Caenorhabditis elegans: one gene and its partner. The protein of the gene in region 1 interacts with the protein of each later gene in a pairwise test. Each region holds a gene or a part of one and is shown on either strand. Other genes may lie near its edges. The genes, in order: gad-1 and memi-3.

Region 1 (4,730 bases):
CTTGTAGTTATTAGCAAACCATTCCAAAAGTGGCATAGTCTCAATAATTTCCATATCTTGTCCAGTTTCACTGTCGGTGAAATGAGATTTGTCCTTCTCCTCGTCAGGTCTCAGATTCAGAAGAATGTCCTCTCCGAGTGAATTTTTCATCTTGTACCGAACAATATCCAAATTCTCCCAGCAGATGAGAGTTTCAATAGCTCCCATTTCAAGTGCGGCAAGAGTGTCTTTAACTCCGAAAACGTATTTTCCAGTGTCTTGGCTGATTTCATCGAAATATCCACCAATCAGTTTCTTTTCCTGAATGAACTTAACACTTGCCAGCGTATCGGCAGCAAGTTCAATAGCTTGGTTGAAACCATTTTCACCACCATAAGCAATATCGACAGTCTTGATCATCTTGGCTTGAAGTCTTTGATCAAACATATCAGATTGTCCCAACTCTGTCTTGAAATCTGCACTACCAGCAAGAATAAGTCCAGCAACTGTAACCTTGTCGTTCTTGATAAATTGTTCCACCGAATTTTCAGCTACTTTACGGACGTAATTGTGCCGCTTCTCATTACGGAGACGAGCAAAACGGACAGCAGATTGACCTCCTCTACCGTGCTTCTTTGGAAGATCGACAGTGAACTTGTGCAGAACTTCACGAGTGTTTCCTTGGAGTGTTCCGAACAGACAACCGTTTCCATCCATAATGATAAATCCGAACTTGTTATCGTCAGCAAGAAGACCTGAAAAATGGTATATTTTATGATGCATGATGAAAATTAGAAATACCTTGAAGAGCTTCGGTGTGAAATTTGTTGTCGCAGAGATACAATGAAGTATTGATTGCTTTGAATGGCTCAAAATCAATGTTAACTTTCTTTTCCTTTCCTTCGTCGGTCATGATTGTTCCACAGTAAACGACCAATCCATTTGGTGGGACTTTGTTGTAGAGTTTCAATCTTCCCTGTACTGATGTGATAGCTCCCAAAACGGAAAGTCTGTTGACACGAGACTTGATGTTAGATGCCGTTCCGTACTCTTCGGCCAACATTCTCTGGATTCTAGCCACTTGATCTTTTGGTGGAATGATCAGCGAAATCATAGAAGTTCCATTTCTGTAAAAAAACAAATGTAAAATAAACGCTTCACGAAAATAGTTACCCTCTGGCTAATTCCAAACTTTTGATGAGCCGTTTAATTTTCCACATTTCGACATTTCTATCGGCGGCGTCATCGCCTCCGGCGGTAGCACCTGCTGCGGGAGCGCTCATATTCTATTTGTGCTGCACGTCACCGATTACCTGTAATTGTATTATATAAAACACGAAAAGAGAGTTAAAGTAATTAATTCGGGGAAGAAACTCAAAAATGCGAAAAAAAAGATATTTATAGAGAACTGGTTATTCTACATTGCACAGAGTTGTGATGGAAAATTAGAATATTGTGCAACATGTTGCAATGGTTTCAATTTGATTTTTTTAGAAGAAAATGTATTTCGTTTTCTCTGAGCAATGACAAAATGATGAATAAAACATTTCTGAACAATTTAAACTGCAAAAATCGATAATTGATGACGCGTAAAAACTTTAAAAACTGAAAATGGGAAAAGAATTTAAATGGTGCCAAGGAACACGAATACGGTTTGTGGAAGGGTCTCGGCGCGAAGTAATGTCCGATTGTCCACACTTTCTCCGCGGCCTAGTCTCCGAAACAAGTCAGCCACGTCCTCAATGTTCGAAATTCGAAAACATTTTTCAGCTTTCATCAGAACTCCAGGACTGTTTCCAGAATTTATTAGTTTTTTTCGCCAAAATATTATATATGTACCACGGCAGTTCATTATATTGGTTGTATTACACGTTTCTTTTCGTTATTAACTCTTTTTTTCCCGTTACCGCCTAATAGATGAAAACGAATTTCAATAATTCTTTCAGATCACCACAATGGATGATAATACGGCTCCAAAAAAGAATTCTGAAAAGAAGGCACGCGTCTTTGACCTCCAAGCAATGTTCGCGCAAACGATAAGCAATGCTCCCAGAACTGAGGAACCAACTCACGTTCCGCAGTCGGTATCGGTGTCTTCTAAATCAGAATCTGGTGTTTCTTCTTCAGCTGTATCTGATGATGAAGATGGTAAGCCGAATATAATGTTTTAATTATTTCAAATTTGTTTTTTCCAGATTTCATGCCAGATCTACCTCCAGGATTCCAAATGCAACAGTCTGAAGCGGGCCCCTCCTCGTCTCGAGCTGAAGGTCCCGAAGATAGTGATGATAGCGATTTTGACGAGACAGAAGCAATCTCCATCATCAAACTGATTCCAGCTGCATGTGAAGCGAAGATCAGCCATGGCACTCAAGCCATCAGTGCACTTCGGGTTGAGCCTCCTGGTGTTCGGTTTGCCAGTGGAGGGCTTGACTATTACGTGAAGCTGTTCGATTTTCAAAAAATGGACATGTCAATGAGATACGACAAAGAGCTTCTGCCTGCAGAAAGTCACGTTATCAATTCCCTGGCATTCTCTCCGAACGGCGAAACTCTTGTAGTAGCTAGTGGAGAAGCTATCATTCGCCTACTGGATCGAGCAGGAAAACAATGGTCTGAAACAGTTCGTGGAGATCAGTATATTATTGATTTAAACATCACTAAAGGACACACAGCAACAGTTAACTGTGTCGAATTCAATCCACTAAACAAGAACGAGTTTATCTCTTGTTCTGATGATGGAAGTCTACGACTATGGAACCTCGATGATCATAAAGTAATCACCAAATGCATCAACAAGCACAGGAAAGTCATCAAAACAAAAGGAGCTAATGGAAAACGTGTCAGCCCGCAAGTTTGCACGTTTTCTCCTGACGGAAAATGGATTGCCGCCGGTTGTGATGACGGATCTGTTCAAGCATGGAAGTATGGATCGCAATATGTAAGTTGAAGTTCAAAAACACTGTTTATTCTCATATTTTAATTTTAGGTCAATGTAAATTACCTTGTACGCAAAGCTCACAACGGCTCGATTACTTCTATTGCTTTTTCGCCCGATTCAAAGAGATTACTGTCTAGAGGTTTTGATGACACTCTGAAGATGTGGAGCTTAGATAACCCAAAAGAGCCGCTTCTTGTGAAAACCGGTCTCGAAAACGCTTTCAAAAGGTATCCTTCTATTAAAAACTTCACCATAAGTATATTTTTTGTAGTACTGATTGCGGATTCTCCCCTCGTGCCGAGGTTGTCTTCACTGGTACATCGTCACCCAACAAGGATACACCTGGAACATTACAATTCTTTGATCCAATGACATTTGATCTTGTCTATAAAATTGATTACCCTGGAATTTCGTGCCACCGAATTCAGTGGCACCCGCGATTGAATCAAATTATCGCTGGACTCTCGGATGGCACCATTCACGTGTACTACGATCAAACGATGTCACAGCGAGGAGTTATGTCATGTGTGACGAAGCCACTCAAAAGAAATCGCGCATCTGAAGTTGTTCGAGAAGATATGGTTCTTTCTCGTAAGTTAAACAATTTTTTTCGAAAAATATTTATCTTCATATTTCAGCTCTTTCCCTCGAAATGTTCCAACCGCGCGGAGAGGAAGGAGAAGAAAAGGAAGTCACTGGATGGAGAATCAAGAAGTATCTCCGAATGCAGGATAACAAGCTTCGTCCCGAGTTCCGGAAGCCTGCAGATATGCCTATCAACGGAAAGAGCGCAAATGGACGTGTGGCTGCAAGTGGTGGAAGTCTTCATTCGTATTTGGCAAAGCAAATCGGAACTGCTCGTAATGCCGAGTTCCTAAAAGATACCGATGTTCGTGCAAGCATCCTGAAACATGCTAAAGACGCCGAAGAGAATCCATTGTACATTGATAAAGCGTATCGAAAGACACAGCCAAAGAAGATTTTCCAAGAAACTGCAGTCGAGCCAGAAGATCAAGATGACGAAGAGCTACAGCCTGTCTTCAAAATGCCGAGAACGAAGTAGTCGTTGCATTAATTTTTTGTTTTTCATCTGTCTGTCTCCCTCTTGTAATATTGTTTTCCTATTTTTTTCTCTATTTTTTGTGTCCCAATAAATATAGAGTCAATGATCACATGATGTTGGAGAAATTGTGTGTTCGCCATAGTCATTGTCTTGTCCAAATATCTAACGCTAGCTACACTCTAGCATGCTGCTCACTTCTATCTTTCCCATTCTTCCAACTCCCCCCCATTTCAACAATATGTGGTCGTTTGTGTCAGTGTCCGGTGGACGATGGCTACACTTTTGCCGCAAGAATTGTATCCAATCGGGATCAGGTTCACTTTTAAAATTGAACCCGGTTCGGATGTTTCGCTTTTGATCTCCTAATCCAAAAACCTGAAACTGTATTTTTAAAAACGTTTCTATTATGGATTTAATTCCAAAAATTGAGAAAACTATATTTAAAGAAGAAATTATTGACATGGCCTCCATTCCATTTCTTTCTTATCATACATTTTCCCACAACTGATACCATGTGCAGCCTATTCAAAGGGTCACTTTTTGCTGAAGTGTGTAGAACAAACATGCAATCCGAAATTACAGTTCCACAACTGTTTACTCTACAATTTCCTTTTCACATTTTCTTCCTGTTTCAGTGCCGAGAAATTGTAGCTAGTAGCAAACAAAACAACGCCGTGAAATTTCGTCCTTGAAGTTTCCCTTTCCCTCCCGAGAAACATCCAAGTTCTCGACGGTTATATCGATAAT
Region 2 (3,754 bases), on another chromosome or scaffold:
CCAGTTCCGCTTGAACTTTTCTCTGAACTTCAGGATGATTTCCCAGAAGATGAATTGCCCACATTAATCCTGTAGATGTTGTATCGTGACCCTCAAACATAAATGTGTCAACTTCTGCTTGAACATCTGTTTCGTCCATTTGTCCACTTTTCACCATTTCGAGAAGAAGATCCAAAAATGCGAGACGACCTTCCATCTTATAATCATTCTCCTGTAGAGCTTCCTTTCTCTCGACAATCACTTTCTTTGTGAAATCATGGAGAATACGAAGACATTTTTCATGAGTCCGTCCGTCCTCTGTTCTGAAAATTACAAATTAATTCACCTTATTAATGATAAAACTACCGTACAAATTATAAATAAATGAATTCCACATCAACGGATTATTTGTTCTTTTTGAAATCAGTTTATTGATTGTGTGCACCGCCCATACATACTCGTTATTCTGAAAAAGTATTTAGAAATTTTGAGATTCGAGTTGTTTACCCAACCTCCGCGAGTTGAGCACCAATAGCTTTCCCCATAGAGGTTTCGCAAATGATGTCAAGAGTGCAAAGGGTTATAACGGAGAGAACATCAACTTCTTCACTGAAAAGAAACATTTGAACGAGTTATCAATTAAAATTCTTACTCTGCTCCGAGGCAACACAATTTCTGAACCAAAATCTTTGATTGCTCGTTAAAAATCGGCAAAAAATCCTTGAGAATATCATAATGGAATGTTGGTGTCAATAGTTTTCGTTTTGGACGCCATTGTTCCTTTTGGCTCGTCAAAATACTGATTCCAAGCCATGGCTCGAGCAAAACGTATGCGAACCCTTTGTTCAGATGTTTCGTCGATGAGAAAATTGGTTCAACAAGATCGGCAGAGTAGAGCATCAGACATGGAAATGGGCCAATCCAGAGAAGACACATCCGTGGATCTGGATACAAATATCCCATTCCAATCACTTGGTTCATGAATCCCTCTGGATCGGGCTTGGTGATGAGTCCGTGACCAACGATTGGATATGATCGTGGCTGATTGAGGTGCTGGAAATTTATTTGAGTTATCTTTGAATGCATTTTGCAATCTGACCTTCAAAACTTGACGCATTCTCAAATGTTTGTAGAGAAGCCAAGCGATCACAGTCGCCATAGCGAGAAGTACAGCGGGGATGATGACCCCCATTGCAAAACCTTCTGAAATAATTTATTTGTGCGAAGAAACGAGCAAAACGCGTTTAAAACATGAGAAAAAGCGTTTGTTAAGCTTTGGTTCTAAAAAAAGAAAAAAAACGAACAGTTTTTGAATCAACATTCAAATTTCACGCATGTCGTAGTGAGACCCATCTGAAAATCGCCATGCGCCTTTAAAGAGTACGGTAGGCTCAAAAAAATTCTAAAACTGATTTTTGTTGTTTTCTGATATATCATGATATTTAAATCTTGATTTAATGATTAAAAACTTTCAATCGCGTTAATTTTTCAACAAAAAAAAAAGAAAACAAATCCAAAATTATTTTTCAATAAGTATTGTACTTTTTATGAATGCATCGCCTATTTGACCTATTCGATCTCCCCCGCGAAAAGTCAGCGCAACAATTGTGTTATTTTAGGCCCAACGAAAATTTTTGATTGTGAACATTCTTCTACTTTGCTGATGTTCAGAGAGCCGTAATGAAATTTCATAAATATTGTTTTATCGGTGAAGCATTATTAATCTGTTAATCACTTGAGTACATTGTTTTTTTTAAAGTTTTATCTTTAATTTTTGCTTCGAATTCTTATTTTTCCATTAATTTTTCAAACCAACGTTTTTTAGAATGTCAGCTCCGTCCCGTACCGTTCTTCGCGAATTGACGGCGACCAAATACGTGGCCAACTACACCGATGAATATCAATTGGAAACCGCTCGAGCCGGTTGCTCAGCCCTCCCACCACAACCCAACATCAATCATGATGCAATTATCGAAGGGCATGGAGAAGACGTGGAGCTCGTCGAGGATAAGAACTACCGTTCCCTGCATCGTATCGATGAAACTCCAAAGCTCGTCGACAAGAAGCCGAGCAAGGCAATCATCCGCGATGAAGCTGTCAAAGTGCTAAGAGACATTCAAACAATGCCGATTGAAAATCTCCGTCTCAAGCGCTACGACTTCTTCTCGCAAAGATGGTTCAACACGACCAGAGAATCGGAGAAAGCGCTTGTCGAGCACGTGCTCCTTCATCCGAACCAGCGACCACACTATTTCGCCGCTCAGTGCCGCATGCTTTCGGCCGAAGATATCTCCAGTCTGATTCTAGTTAGTTTCTTGAGTATATTTTTCCCAAAAAAATTTTTTTATTTCAGACTTCCCTCCTGGCCGAGCCGAAAGAGACGGGTCAAAATGTGGTTCGATTTGCGATCCAGGCAAAGACTGCAATGCCGTTCCAGCAATTGTTTGCAATTCTCGAAAAACTGGAGATGGAAATCGAAGGCTTCCAGATGACAGACAGCTTTGTGGTGGCAACATTGATCCGATCACAGAGCAAGAGTGTACGTAAAATAGTTTTCTATTTCACACCGATAACTTTTCATATTTCAGACTACCACTCGTCGCCTGCGAACAACAAACTGCCGGGAATACGGAAATCTCGAGCCAGGACTCGATTCACAAGGCCGACTGATGGCCTCGACTGCATCAATCACGTGTTCGATTCGAGGAAAGCGCCACGTGGAAACGAGGATCGTGTACAATAACAACTCGAGCGCCAGGGATCCTTTCCGGAGATATAGAGTGAGTTGAATAGCAATAATTTATCGGTTTCCAATTTATAACGTTTTCAGTACATCGAATTGGAGCAAACGGTGAAGTGCATGAACCGACGAGTGCAGATTGTCGAAGAGCCAGTCGAATTTCATGAATTCGAGGTCGAAAACGATATGGTCTCGTTGAGAAATGGAATGGTGCTTGTCGACGACCTAATCTCGTTCCTCGAAACATTCGAACTGGATGAAGAGTGAATTCATTTGTCCAATAATTAGTTATAATGTGCATAAGTTTTTGTATATATCTATCTGAATAACTAAGTGGTTCCTGTTAAATATATCAACTAACTTTCCCCTATTTTATTTTCCATTCCTCCAACTCACCATGACCCTCGAATATTTTGTTTATGTTCAACATGTATATTGCTTGAATTAACTTTACCAAATCATGAACTGGTTGATTTAAAAAATCTTTTTAACATGACTCTGAAAAATTTTTCAAATTAAATTCTTCTGATAAGCTGATAATTTTCTGGTTTCAGATATCAAAATTTTTATACAGCCGGGTACAATGATTTACGATATGGAAGATGCCTCCAGCCTAAAAAGATGAATTCGAAATTAGAATTAATGAACGCAAATTTCTGAAAACGCTGGCAATTCCAGCTTGCGACATGCAACTTTTCGATACTTGAGGCTTGATAGGCAATTGGCCACATTACATAGTGATCATAATTCTGCAATTTCTAAATGTCGTTTCCTGACCGATATCTTGGCTCGAAAACATGTGAAAACTTATTGACAGTAATACTGATTGAATTCAAGCAAACATATTATTCAAAATAAATGTAATATGAAATATCTTTAGGATTTTTTATATTTGTGGCCCTAAAGAGGGCCGTTGGGTTCGGTGGGTTTGTTTAAAGAAGAAAGTTCTTACTCCTTATCTCCTCCAGTCTTCTTTGGGAGAAGAACGGCTTGGATGTTTGGAAGAACTCCTCCTTGGGCGATGGTCACTCCGGC

What was found.
Region 2: the proteins of gad-1 (region 1) and memi-3 interact in a two-hybrid assay, tested with the Caenorhabditis elegans proteins (2 studies listed by BioGRID).

What each region holds. Positions count from the first base shown.
Region 1 is NC_003283.11:6,430,692-6,435,421, reverse strand, and holds gad-1 (Gastrulation defective protein 1), read left to right. Parts: upstream 1-1,925; 5' UTR 1,926-1,934; coding exon 1,935-2,127; intron 2,128-2,174; coding exon 2,175-2,920; intron 2,921-2,968; coding exon 2,969-3,147; intron 3,148-3,191; coding exon 3,192-3,511; intron 3,512-3,558; coding exon 3,559-3,983; 3' UTR 3,984-4,102; downstream 4,103-4,730. Other genes in the region: erfa-1 (Eukaryotic peptide chain release factor subunit 1), read right to left, coding at 1-734, 781-1,106, 1,153-1,262.
Region 2 is NC_003282.8:11,401,389-11,405,142, reverse strand, and holds memi-3 (MEiosis-to-MItosis transition associated), read left to right. Parts: upstream 1-1,804; 5' UTR 1,805-1,805; coding exon 1,806-2,285; intron 2,286-2,332; coding exon 2,333-2,518; intron 2,519-2,567; coding exon 2,568-2,759; intron 2,760-2,809; coding exon 2,810-2,986; 3' UTR 2,987-3,198; downstream 3,199-3,754. Other genes in the region: cyp-31A2 (CYtochrome P450 family), read right to left, coding at 1-302, 351-445, 492-588, 632-1,032, 1,079-1,171; his-65 (Histone H2A), read right to left, coding at 3,668-3,754.